Canis lupus familiaris: one gene and its partners. The protein of the gene in region 5 purifies or fractionates together with the protein of the main gene of each other region. This does not show direct contact. Links are inferred from orthologs where the notes say so. Each region holds a gene or a part of one and is shown on either strand. Other genes may lie near its edges.

Region 1 (3,318 bases), on a different chromosome or scaffold from region 5:
CAATTCCCAGGAAAAACATAAGTGAAGTGTGAGTAAAAACCAGTCAGTGAAGACAGTTGCTTCCTTGCTTTAGATCTATTATTCTGACTGGTGATATAGGAAGATCACCTTCAAAAGATTCTTGTTTGTGGGTAAATCTTTATAATGTATTCAGTGAAGAAAGCCAATTACAAAAGAGACTCAAAATGATACCAGACGTTAATCGTGATTGTCTTTGGACAAAAAATAACTCAGCAATGAAAAAAGGTACATAGTTCATAAAAATCATAGTAAATAAAGCATCCATCACTCACCCTACCTCCCAGGTGACTGGGAACTCACCTTTGGCATAACAGTTGGGGTTCACTGAATGGTTTGCAAATCGAATCTTGTTTCCTTTTCTGGTAGCATCTACTACAAAATCTATATAAAAAAAGATCATGAGCTCACCAGGCAAATCCACAGCTTCTTGAACATGATTTTAAAATCAATTAAACATGGGCAGCCCGGGTGGCTCAGCGGTTTAGCGCTGCCTTCAGCCCAGGCCCTGATCCTGGAGATCCGGGATCAAGTCCCATGTCAGGCTCCCTGCATGGAGCCTGCTTCTCCCTTTACCTCTGTCTCTGCCTCTCATGCTCTCTCTCTCTCTCTCATAAATAAATAAATAAAATCTTTAAAAAATAAAATAAAATCAATTAAACAGTAACAGAAATAATCCAGTGGGAATTTTGAAGTCCAGCAGAAGGCAGTATAAGAATATGGCCTCATGTGGGGCATGTTCTCTTTGGGTTGCCCCATTTGGCTGGAATTATCTTCCCATCTACTGGGTAGGGAAATTTCTGAGATGCAAGTGCTCACTGCAAGTGCTCACTGCTCCAATTATAAGCACTACCCACAAATGGGGGCTCTCCCAAAATGAGTGAACTGTGGCTCATGGGGTCTTAAAGTTCAAGCTCCCCACCTTGCTCTGTGTACCAGCTGGAGAAATCACAGTTGATCTGAACATGGGCTGTAGCAATGGCAAGCTAGTAGAAAGACCTGCCTGAGACTACCTTGGGGCAAGAGAAAGACACTCCATACCATTGTTGAGGTTGAAGAGGAAGCTGGACATGTATTTGTCATAGACCTTCCCCCGTCGATCAGCCTCATCCTGAGAAATAAGCTGCAGAGACAGACAAGGAACAAACAGGGGGATTGGACTGTCTGTTTGGGGCATGGTACCTTGCTCACAGAAAGGACTAAGAGGGGGTAGTGTCACACATAGGTGCTTACTGAGCATCACGATGAGAATCACAGGAGACAGAGCTTGAGGTGGTCCATTCCAATCCCCACCCAGGGTGACCAGCTGGAGACTGAAGAGAGCTCCCTGCCCACCCCCCTTGTGTGGCCTGAGTTGGCAAAGAACTTCAGAAGAGTGATTTATCTCAGGATTGCAAACACTTCTGTGGGATCCCCCAAGAGGCCACACAGGAACTCAGCTGAGTTATTTAGAGAGTAAGTCATAGAAGTCTGGCCCACAGAAAATCAGAGTTTCTCATCAGTATCTCCCCAGATAGGAATGTGGTCCAAACCGATAGCACTCACCTCACCACAGTATTCAGAAATGAATTCGTTTTTTTGCACAGACTCCTTAATGAAGGTGCCCCATCCGGCCACATCTGAGGGGGCCAGCAGCAGGTGCTGGGGAAGAGGGAGTCAAACCTCAGACTACAGGGCATGTGTGAGTGGGCGGGGTATGTCTTGGATGTGCACGTGTGCCAGGGGTGGGCAGGGTGGAAAGAACTAGCAACTGTTAAGAGGATCTGAAAACAGAAAAAGGTCTAAGCCATTCTGTTCTGGGGAGAGGAAAAACAAAGAAGGGAGGTGGCGAAAGGAAATGTGACTCCTCCTCCTCTAGGCCTGGGGGCCTCCTGGACCTGAAGGGTTAGGAACTCACTGCTGCGGATCAAGTAGAAACAGACAATGTCACTGATGGGTGTTCCTCTCTGCTCTCTCGGGCTATTCAGCTCAGGAGTCACTTTCCGAACTCCTCCCCAGGACAGAAAACCACATTAAATCAGTATACATGTATCCTTTAGGATTTGCCAAGCACTGTCACATGAAGCCCTCTGAGGGACCAGTGGAAAGAATCTGCTTGGGGCAACTCCATCTATCCCCCTCCATTACTTGACTCGCAGCCCTGAGAAAAGCCCTCACCTTCTTGAGGCCTCGCTGGATGCTGCAGTTTTTGCAGGAAACCACCTTGCAGTCCCAGTGCTCTGAGGCCCCACATGTGAGGCACAGGTCGGGGTCACACTCTCGCACTGCCAAGTAGCAGGGACATTGCTTGGTGTTGCACTGGGTCTTACAGCGACAGCCAGGAAAACGATTCTGACCTGGGGTGGAGATGGGGGTGGGGGACAAAAGGGAGGGGCAGGTAGGGTTAGGAGCAGAGGCAGCTAATACTGGGGCTCAGGTCTGACTTGAGGGTCAGCAAGGAAGTAAATGTGATGTGCTCAGGGAGATTTTGGCAAAATAGGAAAGAAACTCCCTTGCCAATAATCATACAGTCAAGTTTCTTTCCAGAGAAAATGACTGCCTCCCGACAGTCATGCCTGGGAGTAAAAAAAGCAGGCTTGACCATGGAGATGTGTTTCTTAGAAATTCCTCAACAATGCTCTCCCTCCCCCTTGTTGGTGGAATTTGGAAGGGAGGTGGTTAGTGAACCAGAGAAAATGAAATCAGTGCTTTTCACTGTTAAATCATCACCATCAAAATAAGAATCATTTTGAGAACAGAATGCATCCGTTCTAAGCCACCCTCCACCCATTGCCTTCCCCAGCACAAGTGCCCCTATGCTGTGGCTAAGATCGATATCTGCTATGGGCTAGAAGGTATTTCCAGTACAACTGCCTGGGCACCAAGTTCTGCAAGGTCTGGAGGCTGCTATCAAACTGCTCACCCTTGAGCAGGGAAGGGCACGGTGTGATAAGAAGCAAAAGGGAAGCACATTTAGCCTCTATCTTACTTCTGCTGACATCCAGATGGACTTGATAGGAAAACTCCAAGTATTAAACTAAAACAGCTGTGCATAGAATCATAACCCATATGTGTTGTAACACAACATCCTAGAAAGGGAGGCTGTGATTGTTCCTTAAGGAAAAAGATTCCCTTGGGACACCTGGGTGGCTCAACAGTTGAGCACCTGCCTTTGGCTCAGGGTGGGATCCTGGAGTCCCCGGATCGAGTCCCACATTGGGCTCTCCCTCTGCCTATGTCTCTGCCTCTCTGTTTCTCATGAATAAATAAATATTAAAATAAAAAAAAAGGAAAAAGAGTCCCACGTTTCTTGTTGCTTCC
Region 2 (4,299 bases), on a different chromosome or scaffold from region 5:
TAGAAAAATAGAAGTCAGATTTGTGCTCCGCAAACCATAGCAATCTTTAGGGATGATAGCTAAATGTTTAAATAGAAGATCAGAATATGTACTATACTTTTGTGTTTACTATTATCTCATTTACTCCCCAGTTAAGGAACTATGGTGCCATGAGAGATTATATAACTTGCCACAAGTTATGAAGCTGTTCATGGCAAAACCAGGTCTTTTTTTTTTTTTTTTTTTTTTTAAAGATTTTATTTATTTCTTCACGAGAGACACAGAAGAGAAGCGACTCCTCGCAGGAGCCGGAGGCGGGGCTTAATCCCGAATCCCGGGATCACGCCCTGGGTTGAAGGCAGACGCCCAACCGCTGAGCCACCCAGGCATCCCCAAACCAGGTCTTTTTACTAAAAGCACGATCCAGGTAAAACACCAAATTACATGTCCCCTACTCAGCTAAGTCCTCTAACCTAATGATACTCTAACCACCCCACTGTTGGGAAACACATACGGGCGACCACCCGGCAAATGCTTGAAAATACGTTTATCTTTAGAATGAAGACACTGGTAAAATTCCCACGAGGTAATGGGACTAGGTAAATGTAGAAAGAATTCAAGGAACCATAAAAGTGGCAGCCCAGTTTTCTGACTCTCAGGCCAGGTGGCTGTTCCCTTCAGCACTCCCGGCTGAAGCACCTCAGGGGCAAAGCGGAAGGCGAGACCGGAAGACCTGGGCAAGGCGAAAGGGCATGAGAGAAGTGAGCCATCTACTCACACTCGTACTTCCGAATGGCTGGAGGATACTTGGCCTTGATCGCCTTCTGCTCTTCAGTCAAATTGTAATCTCGAATATCTTCCTCTTCCTGCGCCATAATTGCCGCACTGGACACTCTACTTCCGCCCTTCATTAGCTGGACTTCAGCCCTGATTTACAACTTCCGCTCTAGACTCCGCCCCTTGGCACGCGCCCTTAAAGCACCAGGACCCCATTCTCGCAGATAGACTTTATATGGTTAACACTTCTGTCCTAGGACTCGCTGCCGGAAGCACATCTTTAATAGGCTTCGGCCCTATTTCTGCGTTTCTTCATCCGTTCTAAGAACAAAGGAAACATACACACTGGAGGACGTGGGAGGAGGGAGACACTTTAGAACTAAATACCCGCTTGTCTGGGTGGTGAGAAGCCTTTTCTTTTTACCTCACAGAGTCGATAACTACACCCGAAGCCACCCTAGATTTCTCATCTGAGTACTTTTAAAGTGTCGGGAGCTGCACAGCTTTTAAGAAAATGGCTGCCCCCTGGAGAGTGCGGACTAAACCTCTCACGTGACCCGACGCGCGCACTCCCACCGGGTCCGCGCGCGCGCAATCGTAGGAAGTCGGCTCCCGGCCGTGTCGGGGCAGGGGAGGGGCGCGCACCTCGGCACCGCAGAAAGCGACTCTGCGCGTCTGGATAGGCTGCAAACGCGGCTTCCCCGCCCACCCCGCCGTTCGGGACGCTGCGATTGGCCGGTGTTGGCGCGAAGGTGCGCGAGTAGGCCCTCACGCAGGGGCAGCAGGAAACAATAGAGGCCGCGCGCGCAGAGCGAGCGCCTGTAGCCTCCCCGCCCCTCCCGCAGCGCTCGACCCCGGGATCCCCCCGGCTCGCCTGCCCGCCATGGCCGACAAGGAAGGTAAGGGCCGCCCCGGGAGGGCGGGGGGTGCCGGGCTGGCGCCGCGGCCTCGACAGGGCCTAGCAGTGAAGGCAAGCCCGACTCTTGAGTGCTGTCCCCACCATCGAAGGCGTGAGGAGAAATCGCCCCGCGGGCGGGCTAACGGCGCGCCAGTTCCTCCGACACGGAGGCCGGTGGCCGCGGTGTGGAGCTGGTGGGGGGGCCCCGGCGGGTGTTTGGGCCCTCCCCGCGCTCGCTGTCGGCCTGCCCGCCTCTCGCGTTCTGCGTGCGCTGCTCCCTACCCCGGGGGCCGGTGCGCGGGCCTCCGCGCGGGTTCCGTCGATTCAGCGGGAACGCGAGCGTGCTCCCGAGGCCCGGCGCCGGCGCCCGAACAGCTAACGGGAGTGACGCGCCCCGCTAGCCCGAGAGTAATTGCGGGCCCGCGAGGCGGGGAGGGGTGCAGGTCGCTCCGCCTCGGGGACATTTAGACATATCTGCTCCATTTCAGAATCTTGACTTAATAAGCAGTGCCGGTAGCTTTGGAAGCGTTGGCTCGGTTTCCATTTGTGTTCGCTAACTTAATTTGTTTTTTAACTTTTTAGCAGCCTTTGATGACGCAGTAGAGGAACGTGTGATCAACGAAGAGTACAAAATATGGAAAAAGAACACCCCTTTTCTTTACGATTTGGTGATGACCCATGCTCTGGAGTGGCCTAGCCTAACTGCACAGTGGCTTCCAGATGTAACCAGGTGATGTGAATCTCTTGAACGTTATCTTGTGTCCTCCTCAGCGTTGATTTCTCACGTTGATTTTTCCGTGTCTTCCCCCAGTCACCCGAAGAGGGCACGTAATGATAACCTATGGGTGATGTTTTTTTCCTAGGCCAAAAAATAATACAAAATGTAAAAATAGTTTTGCAATGTACCTGATAAGAGAAAACTTGTTTTCTTTTCCTGATAACGAATTGAATAGCCTGTTATAATTACAGTTGGAAAATAATGTAAAATGTGTCAGTTTTCAAAAAAAGCTATGATTTCAGTTCTTTCAGCAAAATATTTGAATTGTAGGTAGTAGCTGGTTAATATAAAGAGGTATATGACATGGTACCTGCCTTCAAGGAGCACAAGTGTAATTGAGGCCCATGTAAACTAATAATTACAGTAACCTATGCTAAAAGCAGTTTTACAGAGATACTTAGGATATTTAGAACTAAGAACTGAAGATGGGGTGGTTTGGGGGTTTTATATAAGGGAATTATGCATAGTGAGAGAGAAATCACATGTAGGGAAGGTCTTAAATGTGACAAGCTTACCTCTAAGAAGGTAAGCTTAATAGTACTTAATTTACTTTCCATTTGTTTAGTCTGCTAGGTGCTATAAATTAGGGTGTACAAGTTTAGATGGACACCTTCCCTGCCTTGATTTCTTGTGTATATAGTATGGTAGATTACCACCCCCCTTATTTGTAGGGAGTATGGCCAAAGATCCCCAGTGGGTGTCTGAAACCACGGATGGTACTGAACTCTGTTATGTTTCTGAACATACATAATTGTGATAAAGCTTAATTTATAAATTAGAAACGGTAAAAGATTAATAGAACAATGGTTATATAGCTTTGTGCAGGGGGCAGTATCGTAGCCAATGAGGTTTATCCGAGGCACGATTATTGCTAATAAAACAATGGTTATAACAACATACCATAATAAAAGCTGAGTGTGATCTCTTGCTGTCAAAATGTTTCACTGTAATCACCCTTCAAGTAATATTGTTGAGAAAATGCCTGTGTGATGAAGTGAGGTGAATGACATGGGCATTGTGATGAAGTATTAAGCTACTTATTTACCTGATAAATCAGAAGGGAGATCATCTACTTCTGGAGGGCATCGTGGTTGACTGTGGGTAACTGAAACCATGGATGGGGGTTTTCTACTGTATTACAGTAAAAAGTATCATAAGAGTAGCACAGTTAAAATGATCAAGGGAAGGAAAAATCACCTCAACTTAGGGTATCATGAAAGGCTTCCAGGAGAAAGTGACAATGCAAAGATGAAGGTGAATTTAAATAATTAAAGGTTTATCAAGACCAAAGTGCCTGTTGGAATAATGGGTTTTCTTTTATAAAATTGCTTCACCATTCAGAGTAACATTTAAAAATTATATTGTGTGCTGAATAACTAAATTCCTTCGAAATTCATCTCTTTCGAGTTCAAAATATGGTTATTAGGCTATGTTTCAGCTCAACAAGTAATAGAAATTTTATTAATTACTTAAACAGGTTGCTACCTTCACAGTGGCATTAAAAAATGAAGAAGTAGAGTTGGAAGCTTTATCATGATCCATGTTCACCTATGGGTCATCAGAATTGCTTGAGCTCGAGGAGCCTGGGTGGCAGTCTGTTAAGTGGCTGACTCTTGGTTTCAGCTCAGGTGGTGGTCTCAGGGTCAGGAGATCGAGCCTGTCACTCTGTACAGAAGACTTCTTCTACCCCTCCCCACACACTCTACTCCCTTGGGCTTGCACTCACTTGCACTCTTTCTTTTTTTTAAGAAAATATATTTATTTTATTTGAGTTCAGGTTAAGTGGAGTCATTTCTGTCAGGAGTTCTCAGTGATAGTCAAATCATTTAGAAACTGGTGGCAGGGGGGATCCCTGGGTGGCTCAGCG
Region 3 (4,103 bases), on a different chromosome or scaffold from region 5:
AACAAAACACAATCACAGTCCCTTCATACTCCAAGTAGAATCCTGCAAAAGTACCACACAGCCATCCTCAACATCCAAGAATGCAGGCTGGCTGGCATTTTCTTGCATTCCCAGAGCAACTGCACATCCCACAACCAGATCCCACTTCTTTGTATGCAAAGAACACCACGGAATACATCATTTAAAGTATTTTTTGTTAAGTTCTTAAGTGTTAACATAAAAGCAGTATTGGCGGGGGGCTGGCGGGCTCAGTAGGTGGAACATGTGACTCTTGATCTCAGGGCTGTAAATCTGAGCTCCACGTTGGGTGTAGAGATTACTTAAAAATAAAAATCTTTTCAAAAGCAGTATCCGGGCTAAGAACATACACATTTAACATCCTTAAAATTGTTACACAAAACACAGATAACATTTTCAGAAGACTTGAATAAGCAGTTTTCACTGGAATCCAAATGGAGAAACACAGTTACTACAGTCTAATTATTTCTGAATACAAAGGGGGAGAAAATCAGCATCAGTCACCACTTATTGCGGACTTCTTCTGTGCCAGCACTTTAAAAGTGCATGATCTTATTTCATTTCCTCAAAAGTAGGCAGTCAGAAGCACCAGCACCTCCACTTACAGATCAGACAGCTTGGGAATAGAGACTGACCAATGTGCCCTAATTTAGCTATTAAGAAGCAGGCGGCAGGATTCAAACTCAGGTTTCTAACCTTAGAGTCCTAAACACCTCCGCTGTGTTCTGCTGGTAAGGTAGATCAAAAAGATCCAAAATAATGTAAATTAAGCTGTTAAAGGTTTTAATTTACTTAACAGGAGTGCACAAAGAATCAAAAGTACATGGTGCTCAAAGGAGAACCTGAATACCCTTAAGTATTTGATGTTCAAAATTGTTATGTCAGTGTTTTGAAGTCTGTTTTTTATTTCTTGGCTATTCTTATCACATCTGTGTATTTACACTGATTTTGGGGAATCCTAATAAAAGCCTCTACCTATATGGAAGACAATGTCTGCATATGGAGAATTCGGCCATTAAAGGAGTAACCTCATAGAAAATTAACTTGCTCTTATTTTCAGAAATTGTCTCAAAATCCCCTTCCTACGTTAGTTTTGTTAATCCTCATTAAAAATATATGTTCACAATACCCAAATTAAATACTTTTAAAGTACACAGCCAAGTTCCTACTAGAAAAAGTGCAAGCGCTTAAGAAAGTCTAATAATACAGGAGTTGCCTCAACTCTGGGGTACCCGGTTTGGGTTCAAAATCCCACTCCACCACTTGCTGGATGATCCTGGGTATTTTAACACCCCCACCCCAGTTTCCACAACAGTAAGACAAAGATGATAAAGAATAATCATAGTATACTTTTTCATAGTATAATTCTGAATATTAAACAACTGGACACAAAACTGTTGAGATGTGCCAGGCCCTATTTTAAGTGTTCAATAATACCAGCAATTATTACCAGAGAAATTTTAGAAACGGCTGAAAAGAACCAACAGCAACCTCCAAGTGTATTCCACACTATCAGCTAGTAACGTCTTTTCTTCAGTGAACTACTGCTAAATTCTTTTTTCCCTTTGTCAATTAAAACCTATTCATATAGGGATCCCTGGGTGGCGCAGTGGTTTGGCGCCTGCCTTTGGCCCGGGGCGCGATCCTGGAGACCCGGGATCGAATCCCATATCGGGCTCCTGGTGCATGGAGCCTGCTTCTCCCTCTGCCTGTGTCTCTGCCTCTCTCTCTCTCTCTGTGTGACTATCATAAATAAATTAAAAAAAAAAAAAAAAAAAAAAAAAAAAAACCTATTCATATAGTGGTGGCTGGTTACATGGATGTGCTCCCTTCGTAAAAATCCATCCAGCCATATGCTTATGATTTGTGCATTTTTCTGTACGTGTGCTCTTTTTCAATAAAGTTTTAAAGAAATCCATTAGTCTGGGTCCCCAAAATGCTGCTCTATATTTAATCCCAAGAACTGTTAAATTCGTTAGATGCTCCCCACAAATATCATTAATCGCACTTTGTCCCCACGCTTACATATCAAAAACCATCCCATAAATCACTTGTTTTGAAAATAAAAATCACCTGCCACCTCATGCAAGGGCTAAATTGATTACACGCTCATGTTCTATGTGTAAAATGCCAAAACTAGGAATTTCGGGATAATAGTCAAATTTATGCAAAGTAAAAGTTGCCAGAAACCCTTACTTAGTCACTTCAGGAAGCCACTGAACGGTAAGACTCGGCCACTGAAGAGCATGGGTCATAACCAGGTCATACAGAAACGGTGTATTCTTCTTCCAGATTTTATATTCTTCATTGATGACACGCTCCTCCACAGTATCTTCAAACACTGAAATTTGGAGAAATCCCACACAATTAAGTGGCTGAGAGAAATCGAGTTAGAATCTGTACACAGATAGTGGAGGTCACCTCGAGATGGCCACACCTAATCTACTCCTCAGCTTTACGTTTAATTTGGACACGAACTAACTGCTCTTCCAGAACGTGAGGAGAATATTAACACCAGGAAGCTTATTTTTTGCACTTAGAAATCGATACTGCTTGCGTATACAGAATTGGGCAATTACACAGACGACGATTTTGTTTCAGCAGTTACAGCTGTTCGCACCTGTTCTAAGATGACGACCCATCTGTGCAGGGGCTCCACGACCCACCCCGGGAGACGAATCCACGTGTAGCAGAAACCCCTCGGCCCGCTCCCTCCATCCCCCACCAGGAGCGGCCTCCGCTCCCACGAAGCCCGCGTCAGCAGCCATAGGCCGGCGTGTGCCAGAATCCCCCGGACAAGGGCCGCGACCCCGAAGCGGTCGACGCGCGCGCGTGGAAGGAGCAGCCGTGTCCGCTTTCCGGTGGCGGAGGCCGCCTCCGCCCGAGAGCCAAGGGCGCCGGAGGGAGCGCCGCCGCCAGAGGGGGGGGAGGGGAGCGGGGGGGGGCAGAGGGGGAAGGGGGCCCAACCCGCGGCCCCGCGCCCGGCTCCGGAAGTGCTCGGAGCCCTCCGCGCCGCGGTCCCGTCCCGCTGTAGGCCCCTCGAGGCGCGCGCCTAGCCTCGCGCCCGGCCCCGCCCCCTGCTCCTCACGCCAATTCGCGCCTTTCGCCGGCGCGTGCCGCGGCCTCGCGCGCCCGCCGCCCCCCGCGGTCCCGGCGCGCGCCGCCCCGCAGGGCCTCTTACTCTCTTTACTCGCCATCTTGCGTCGGGTCGTTCGCCCCTCGCCGCCGCCTCGGACTCCCCTCGCTAGCCAACAGCAGCCCAACCGCAGGCGTTCCTGCCTCGCCCAGGCGCGTCACACACTTCTAGCTCTCGAAGCGTGAGCTCCGTCTTACGGCCTGGGTGCTCCCCAAACGCTGCGTCCTTCTCTCCTGCCTCCTCCCCGCTCGCGGGTACCGAGGTCTGAGGCGCTCTTCTCTCTCTCTCCAAACTTGGAACGAGACTTTTCAACCCGCGCCTCCCAGCCCGCCCAGGCAGCTGAGCGCAGGCGCATCCGCCCTGGGAAAAGTGAGAGGCGGTGGAGAGGCGGGCCTGGGAGCCAACGGCTCGGTTGTTTCAACCAATGAGGTGCGGCACGCAGGTTTCACGCGGCATTTGTGGGCGGGCTTCTGGGGGTGGGCGGGGCGTTCCGCGGCAGGAAGTTGGCGAGGCGCAGGCGCGAGGGCTCGCCCAGCGCTCCCAGGGCCGGGCGCGGGGGCGGATGGGGGCGCGCGGGGGTGGGGCGGATGGGGGCGCGGCGTGCGGGCTGCGCGGGGGCTGTGAGCCCCGGGGCCGCGGGGCGTGGCTGCTTGCAGCGGCCGTGGCGGTGGGGTGGGAGGGGGGCAGGGAGGTTGACGCGGCTTAGCCAAGCAAAATCTCAGAGCGAGAGGAAAATGGTTTCTAGTCTCGAGAGATTACTGTGCCCTCAACGTCTCCCGGATAATCACGGGCATGCAATTCTGTGTACCCTGAAAGGCTTCCCTCTAGTCGACTGGCTTTTCCCGGGGTCCGGTCGAGCTGAGGTGGGGTTCGTTGCAGGCTGAGGAAACCTTTTACAGAGGCCGCGGGCGTTTTTTGACTGCTAAAGCCGAGGGGCCTCCCTGTTAGG
Region 4 (3,158 bases), on a different chromosome or scaffold from region 5:
TCTTCCTTTGGCCCTGCTTTTGAACCATTCATATGTTAGTGAAACGGGCAGAGCTGCAACATGTGGCTGTGTGGGCTGTGTCCTGTAAAACTCCGGAAAGCTCTCTACCAACAGGAATTTCTCAGTCCAGGTTCTGTTGAAATACTGGGCTACACAATCTTTATTTTTAATGGGAGGGGCCATCCTGTATATTGATTGTAGGATGTAGCAGCATCTCTGGCCTCTACCTGCTAAAGGCCAGGGACATTGCCAAATGTTCCTTAATTGGCACACCACTGACCTATAATATGAATAGTGCCCACTGTGTTGCAGTTTTTTTTCAGCAAAGATACTATGTTACAGAATAAGAAAAGTATAACTTAGTCTATTTCAGTCGTATCCCCATATCAATGTCTTGATTTAAACCACTGAGTTTATTACCTTCTATATAATATGATTTTTAAGGCCTCTAAGCAGGGGCCATACTGAAAAGCATATTTTTGTATAGAGTTTTTATAATTTTATCGTTTATAATTTTATAAATTATAATTTTATATTTTATAACATATAATTTTATATATATATTTTTTAATTTTATATTTTATATTTTATAACAAATGTTATAAAACACTCAAGTCTCTGGATGCCAGAGTATTGAGAGCTGAATTTGGTTTGGAAAAGAAATTCTGACTTCAAAATGGATATTCCAGATAATATAATGCTTTTTAATATTGTCAAATTCTGTTGTAAGATGACCTCTTATCCTCAAGTGTGGACCTTGACTCTGTAAATATAAATAAATGTATATCACTGTATCTACTAGATGGATAACCAGGTCTTAAGACTGTCAATTCTAAAAAGATAATAGAGAAAAGAAGGCTTTGTTTTAAGTTTTAAATTTCAGTTCTATATGTAACAATTTTTTCTCATTTCTGTCTTCTAAAGTCTTGTGAAAATGCCATTGTGTGCTGGAAACCTGGCAAAATGGAAGATGATATAGATAAAATTAAACCCAGTGAGTCTAATGTGACTATTCTTGGGCGATTCGATTACAGCCAGTGTGACATTTGGTACATGAGGTTTTCTATGGATTTCTGGCAAAAGGTAGCAACATATTTCTACATTTTAAAATTACTTCAGACCATTGTAATTTCACTTTTCTCTGTTGTGCATCCATGTTCAGTTTCCTCTAAGAATCTACCTTGATATCTTGTAGTGATTGATTACTTTAGCCGTTGATGTTATTTATTCTATCTTTATAGAGTAGGCTCTCCACACCATTTGCAGTGCGTATTATAAATGCAGTTGACAGGTGTCAATCTTGGCAATGGTGCTTACTTTCCATAACATCTGTTACTAAGATTTAATGTTATGGTGATTGAATGTTAACTTTTTAAATAGCTTTTTTGTAGAAAAGCTTAGAGAAATTTTAGAGATTGGTGTTATGAATTTGTAGTAACAAATTATCTGGGTATTTATTTCTATAAGAAAACTTTGGAGGAGCTGTCTGTAGCTTTTGCTACAATGTAAATTGTAAAGTCCTTCATAAATTTGCCTTCTAATTTGCTCAGGATGCCTCTGAAGTATAAGTTGCTGTTATCCATTTACGAATCAGAAGTATAAGATACAAAGAAATAGAAATAATCAGGAGTATAGCCATAGTCTGGAACTGAGGTTTTTATGAAATATGAATATATCTTAGGAATATTTGAATGCTCTATAGCCTATTTTAATAATTTGGTGTTTTTAAAAATACGTTTATACAGATGCTTGCATTGGGCAATCAGGTTGGCAAACTTTATGTTTGGGATTTAGAAGTGGAAGATCCTCATAAAGCTAAGTAAGTATTTAGAAATTTTTATTGATAATTTCTGTCTTTTTCTCAAACGCTATGCCAATATTTAATTTATTCATGAGAGACACAGAGAGGCAGAGACACATAGAGGGAGAAGGAGGCTCCGTGCTTGGAGCCTGATTGGGACTCAATCCCAGGACTCCGGGATCACAACCTGGGACGCTCAACCATTGAGCCACCCATGGATCCCTTGAAGTATCATTCTTAAATCATTTTTAACATTTATATGACTCAGTTATTTAAAAATATTTTTTATTCTCATAATGGCTGTTTATCATGAGTACTTTGGTGACAAGTTACACCTTTCTTTTTATTAATTTAAAATATACCCAAATGTTATGAAATTAGAGATTGAGCTCTTAGTGATATTTTAAATGCTTTCCATATGACTTGGAACATCTGTTTGTTTTCTTATTCGTTGGTTTAATTTGCTACTGACAATATTTATGAATGGCTTTTAACCTATTGTCTTGTTTTTTCCTAGATGTACAACACTGACTCATCATAAATGTGGTGCTGCTATTCGACAAACCAGTTTTAGCAGGGATAGCAGTATTCTTATAGCTGTTTGTGATGATGCCAGTATTTGGCGCTGGGACCGACTTCGATAAAATATTTTTTCCTTATCAAAATTAGAGTGTGTTTTCTGTGTATAATAGAATTAATGTATCTTGCTAGTAAGGGCACATAGAGCATTTAGAGTTGTCTTTCAGCATTCAATCAGGCTGAGCTGAATGTAGTGATGTTTACATTGTTTACATTCTTTGTACTGTCTTCTGCTCAGACTCTACTGCTTTTAATAAAAATTTATTTTTGTAAAGCTGTGTGTTTATTTTCATTGTGATAAAAAGAAATGTTGAAAGTAATAAAAGTATTCCCTTTCTTTTTTGTAATGATCATTTTTGTAGTCCTTTTAACTGAAGAAAGCTATATAATGTAGTGATTAAGTGTAAGCTCTAGGATTAAGCGGACTTTAGTCTTGGCTCTGCAAACATGAGCTGAGCTAAGTAATTTAACATCTACCTCAGTTTCTTCTTGTGTGAAACAGGGATAAGAATACCTACCTCATAGGGTTATTAAGGATCAAATGATTAAATAAGTGAAGCAGCTGGAATAGTACTCAGATGTACCCTAAATACATTGTTGCTTCTTTTTTATAAAGATTTCATTCATTCATTCATTTATTCGAGAGAGATCACAAGCAGGGGGAGTGGTAGAGGGAGAAGCAGACTCCTTGCTGAGCAAGGATCCTAAAGTGGGACTTGATCCCAGGATCCTGGGATCATGACCTGAGCCAAAGGCAGACGCTGAACTGACTGAGCCA
Region 5 (4,254 bases):
CAGGCTGAATCTGCCTTCAGAGCCTTTGTTTTAGTATTTTCTGAGGGCAGCCCCAATATTGGGGGTGGGGGGTGATCTTGGAGAAAACTGTTATTTTGGTTACTCACAAAATATTTTTATTCTAAAACCTCTGCCCGCAGGTGAACCAGTGTGTTATTGGTACGGCCCAGGCTAACAGGAAATGAAGACAGATCCAGATCCTCTGTTTGGGAAGGGGGGGTGGGGGTGGCGCTGAAGGATGCTTTGTTGGGGGGAGGGGCGCTCTGTGACCTGGGTCTATCAAATAAAGAACAAGTTTTTTTTCTTTAAATAAAGGTTTTGTTAACAATGGCCCGTATCTGTAAAAATGGGAACTGTGGATCGTCTACTCTGCCGAGTATTTGTGTTTTGCAGAGCAAGGGTTTCAGCTTTTCTCTACCTGGCTATCTCCTGGAGACTAGATGGTTACCCTGGTTGTCCGCCTCTAGGAGATGTGCCCACTGGCCGACCGCCGTCACTGGTTTGCCGCAGGCCACCCAGCTCCACGCGGAGAGCTCGTCTGGTGGGTGCGGGAAAGTGGAAGCCCGAGTCCAGAGGCCGGGCCAGCGAGCCCTCCTGCAAACTGCGGGCTCTCCCTCCCGCTCTTTCCTTGCCGTCCCATTCGAAGAACTGGGGCCGGCCCGCCCGCTGCCCATTGGCTGGCTCTCGGCGGCGTTACCGCCTCGCTACTAGCTCTCCCGGTCCGTGTACCCGCCCTACAGGCGCTGGGTGGGCTGCACGCCCGCTGACTCGCTCGCGCCAACCGCCAACGGCCACCGCCCGGCAAAGGAGGGGCTCGGTCCACCCAGGTGCCGCGCGCGGGAGGGGTCACGCATGCGCAGAAGCGCGGCGGCGGTGTGGCGGGGGGAGACTTACCACGGGGAGGGCGGGGCCGGGGCAAAGGCGGGAGGAAGGCGGGGCACTCGAGGGAGGAGGGCGTGGCGGGGGCGACGGGACGGGTGAATGGGGGGCGGGGTCGTGAACTGGGGCCGAGGGGCGGGACTTGGAGTGACCATGGAGGTTGGGGGGGCAGTTAACGGATGTGGCATGGGGCGGGGGCCAGGCTGGAGACCAGCTGCGGGGAAGGGGGGGATTCCCTGCTGCCCCGAGGGCGGATCTCCCTCCGAGGAAGGGGCTGCAGGGATTCCCTCTCGCACTGGGTCTTGACTTTCCACCCGCCCCAGCCGTGGGGAGGCCGCCACCCGTTCGGCGCCCTCCAGGCCCGTTGGAGGTGAGGGAGGTGGGGTGAGGTGGTGCCCGCCCCCCCCCCGGCTCCTCCTTCCCCTCAGTCCTCCCCTCCCACTACCCTCCCCCCGAGCCGGTTTGTCCCTCCCCTCCCCTCCCCTCCTTCCCCCCGCCGCCTCCTCCTGCCGCTGCCGCTGCTTTGGCTGCTGCGTCATACGCCCCAGAGCTGCCGGGACGGAGGGGCTGGGCCTGGGGACCCCCCGGCCCTTGCCTGCCCGCCCTCCGACGCCCAGACGTGCCCTCCCCGCGCGGGGGGTTCGCCTCGGTCTCCCACGTCTGCCTCTGCCCGGCTCCCGGCGGCCCCAGCTGTCACTGGTAAGGAGGCGGCGGGAGGCGCCCGTGGGGGGGGGCAGGGAGCCGGGGGTCGGCGCGCAGGGCGCGGGCGGGAGAGCCTCGCCGCCCAGGCATCAGCTCGCGCTGGGCTGACTCAAGTCCCCTCTCGGACTCGCTGTCCTGGGGAGTAGAGACCGGGACTGGGACACGCCCCCCTCCCAGGGCACTCAAGGAAGTTATCTAACCCGGGGGACAGGGAGCCCCGTATTTGAGGGTGACCTGCCATAACCTGGCATCGGGATTATTGTTCTGGAGACACAGGGGCCCGGGGAGGCAGCCGTTTCTAATTTGGAAAACATTTCCAGAAAAGCTCCCAAAACACATTCTCTGGGTAGCAGAACACCCCAATTACAGTATCTCTAAACAGAAGGTGACAGTAGAAACTGAATGGTAACCTTTGCTTCTGCAACCATCATTCCTCCTAAAATCTCAAGGCCAGGATACAGTATCCCAGGGGAGCTCTGGAAGCTGGGAAACTAGAGAACTAGGTTGGGGGGTGGGGGGTGTTAGGGAGAGGAGAGCCAGTCACCAGAGTTGGAAAAGCTGGAGTCATGAAGCTTGGGAGGGGTGCTGTGTGATTTCCTATCCAGGTATTTCATATTTGGAGACTGGTAGCACAGCTGCTTGAGTCCTTGAGGCATAGAAAAATGGGGACAGTTTCTCAACATTCATAACCTTCTCCCATCCCACTTCTGGATAGCCCCCCCCCCCAGGATGCAATGGCACAGCCCCCCCGGCTGAGCCGCTCTGGTGCCCCCCCACTTTGGGACCCAGCCTCCCCTGCTCCCACCTCAGGCCCCAGGCCTCGACTTTGGGAGGGTCAAGATGTGCTGGCCAGGTGGACGGATGGACTGCTATACTTGGGGACCATCAAGAAAGTAAGACCTTTGACTTCTGACTTATTACCTTCCCCCCATTCTCCTTATGTAGTTCCGATTCCTGTTTCATCTCCTGTGCTCATCCATTCCAGGTGGACAGTTCCCGGGAGGTGTGTCTGGTCCAGTTTGAGGACGATTCCCAGTTTCTGGTTCTATGGAAAGACATTAGCCCTGGTGAGACCTTAGAGGCCCAAATATATGCATGCTGTGGAAAGCAGAAACCTGGCTTGGGGGATGTAAAGGGGGCTTAAGGACAGGCCCCACAACACTGTTCCCTCACAGCTGCCCTCCCCGGGGAGGAACTCCTCTGCTGTGTCTGTCGCTCTGAGACTGTGGTCCCTGGAAACCGGCTGGTCAGCTGTGAGAAGTGTCGCCACGGTGAGAGGGCAGGATACCTAAATGGTCTAGCTTGCCCTGAACCTTCCAGGCTGCCTCTAAGTCTTCCCTCCACCACTGATCCTTAGGCCACCTGTCCTGGCTGAGTCCCCAAGCCACTGCTCTGGCCAGTCTGCTCAACTCTGTAACCTCTCTTCCAGCACAGGGAGAAATAGCCATGGAATCAGGAGGTGTGGGCTTTGTAGACAGAGGATGGTTCAAATACACCTTTACTAACCATAAAACCTTGGGCAAATTCCCAAGCCCCTAGGAGCCTGTCTCCTCACCTGTAAAATAAGGGTAACTTATCTACTGCAGCCAGATCACAGTCAAAGATGAAATGAGGTGGCCCAGACTCCTCCTATCCCAGTCACTAGCACACACAGGTATATTGTGCAATAAATGGTCTACCATCAATATTATCATTATTCAGCTTATCACCAGGACTGCCACGTTCCAAGAGCCCCAGCCCCTGGAGAGGGAGAGGGCACATCCTGGGTCTGTCGCCAGTGTGTCTTTGCCATTGCCACCAAGGTAAGGTCACCATTCTGTGGGAGCCTCCCCCACCACCTCTCCCAAGCCTTCCTGTTCCCTACCCGTCTGAGGTGGCCTGTTTCCTCCCTGCAGAGGGGGGGTGCACTGAAGAAGGGCCCCTATGCCCGGGCCATGCTGGGCATGAAGCTGTCACTGCCATATGGACTAAAGGGGCTAGACTGGGACGCTGGACATCTGAGCAACCGACAGCAGAGCTACTGTTACTGTGGTGGCCCTGGGGAGTGAGTAAATGAGGGACAGGGGTGGAGGAGTGGTGGGGAGGGAATGAATGATGGAGTGGGTGGGGGGATCCTGGGGAATGAAGGAGAAAAAATAGGATGAAGGGAGTGCTGAAGAAAGCAGAAGTAGGTGGTGAGTAGGGTTTGGGGCCATTCAGGTCGGGGCAGTGTCTGGAGGTCACCAGTCCTGTGTTCCCTCTCAGGTGGAACCTGAAAATGTTGCAGTGCCAGAGCTGCCTGCAGTGGTTCCATGAGGCCTGCACCCAGTGTCTGAGCAAGCCGCTCCTCTACGGGGACAGGTGAGATGGGGCTGGCTCTCTGGGAGCCAAGGGAGAATACTCTTGCCCTGCTCTACCCTCTCAGGCCCCCATGCTGCTTCAGCTCCATGTCTCCCCAGCCTCTGAAGCTCACCTCCCCTACGCACCCCATCCTTATTCATAAGTCCTCCACGCTCTCTCCCCCTCGCCCACTTCCAGGTTCTACGAGTTCGAATGCTGTGTGTGTCGGGGTGGCCCTGAGAAGGTCAGGAGGCTACAGCTTCGCTGGTGAGTGGGCACCACCTCCACATGGCTCCTCTCTCAGCACCCCCAGCCTCCCACCTTGGGCTCTCCAGGCTTTTGTATTGACAAATC

The links.
Region 1: the proteins of PHF1 (region 5) and EZH1 purify together in Homo sapiens (affinity purification with mass spectrometry; 5 studies listed by BioGRID and IntAct, with this or other methods). This does not show direct contact. The link is inferred for Canis lupus familiaris from reciprocal best matches to the Homo sapiens genes PHF1 and EZH1.
Region 2: the proteins of PHF1 (region 5) and RBBP4 purify together in Homo sapiens (affinity purification with mass spectrometry; 5 studies listed by BioGRID and IntAct, with this or other methods). This does not show direct contact. The link is inferred for Canis lupus familiaris from reciprocal best matches to the Homo sapiens genes PHF1 and RBBP4.
Region 3: the proteins of PHF1 (region 5) and histone-binding protein RBBP7 purify together in Homo sapiens (affinity purification with mass spectrometry; 7 studies listed by BioGRID and IntAct, with this or other methods). This does not show direct contact. The link is inferred for Canis lupus familiaris from reciprocal best matches to the Homo sapiens genes PHF1 and RBBP7.
Region 4: the proteins of PHF1 (region 5) and EED purify together in Homo sapiens (affinity purification with mass spectrometry; 8 studies listed by BioGRID and IntAct, with this or other methods). This does not show direct contact. The link is inferred for Canis lupus familiaris from reciprocal best matches to the Homo sapiens genes PHF1 and EED.

Annotation. Positions count from the first base shown.
Region 1 is NC_049230.1:20,160,948-20,164,265, reverse strand, and holds part of EZH1 (histone-lysine N-methyltransferase EZH1), read right to left. Parts: intron 2,355-3,318; coding exon 2,176-2,354; intron 1,660-2,175; coding exon 1,564-1,659; intron 1,142-1,563; coding exon 1,060-1,141; intron 403-1,059; coding exon 322-402; intron 1-321.
Region 2 is NC_049223.1:68,051,758-68,056,056, reverse strand, and holds the start of RBBP4 (histone-binding protein RBBP4), read left to right. Parts: upstream 1-1,494; 5' UTR 1,495-1,639; coding exon 1,640-1,655; intron 1,656-2,236; coding exon 2,237-2,384; intron 2,385-3,245; exon of another isoform or gene 3,246-3,406; intron 3,407-4,299. Other genes in the region: ZBTB8OS (protein archease), read right to left, coding at 758-890. UniProt on the Homo sapiens protein: Core histone-binding subunit that may target chromatin assembly factors, chromatin remodeling factors and histone deacetylases to their histone substrates in a manner that is regulated by nucleosomal DNA.
Region 3 is NC_049260.1:13,088,410-13,092,512, forward strand, and holds the start of histone-binding protein RBBP7, read right to left. Parts: upstream 2,802-4,103; 5' UTR 2,787-2,801; coding exon 2,639-2,786; intron 2,360-2,638; coding exon 2,215-2,359; intron 2,209-2,214; exon of another isoform or gene 1,809-2,208; intron 1,598-1,808; exon of another isoform or gene 178-1,597; intron 1-177. UniProt on the Homo sapiens protein: Core histone-binding subunit that may target chromatin remodeling factors, histone acetyltransferases and histone deacetylases to their histone substrates in a manner that is regulated by nucleosomal DNA.
Region 4 is NC_049242.1:13,357,252-13,360,409, reverse strand, and holds the end of EED (polycomb protein EED), read left to right. Parts: intron 1-924; coding exon 925-1,083; intron 1,084-1,745; coding exon 1,746-1,819; intron 1,820-2,318; coding exon 2,319-2,445; 3' UTR 2,446-2,654; downstream 2,655-3,158. UniProt on the Homo sapiens protein: Polycomb group (PcG) protein. Component of the PRC2/EED-EZH2 complex, which methylates 'Lys-9' and 'Lys-27' of histone H3, leading to transcriptional repression of the affected target gene.
Region 5 is NC_049233.1:2,998,903-3,003,156, forward strand, and holds the start of PHF1 (PHD finger protein 1), read left to right. Parts: upstream 1-1,449; 5' UTR 1,450-1,578; intron 1,579-2,296; 5' UTR 2,297-2,315; coding exon 2,316-2,474; intron 2,475-2,566; coding exon 2,567-2,648; intron 2,649-2,756; coding exon 2,757-2,852; intron 2,853-3,282; coding exon 3,283-3,383; intron 3,384-3,476; coding exon 3,477-3,625; intron 3,626-3,825; coding exon 3,826-3,921; intron 3,922-4,098; coding exon 4,099-4,167; intron 4,168-4,254. Other genes in the region: kinesin-like protein KIFC1, read left to right, coding at 141-185. UniProt on the Homo sapiens protein: Polycomb group (PcG) that specifically binds histone H3 trimethylated at 'Lys-36' (H3K36me3) and recruits the PRC2 complex. Involved in DNA damage response and is recruited at double-strand breaks (DSBs).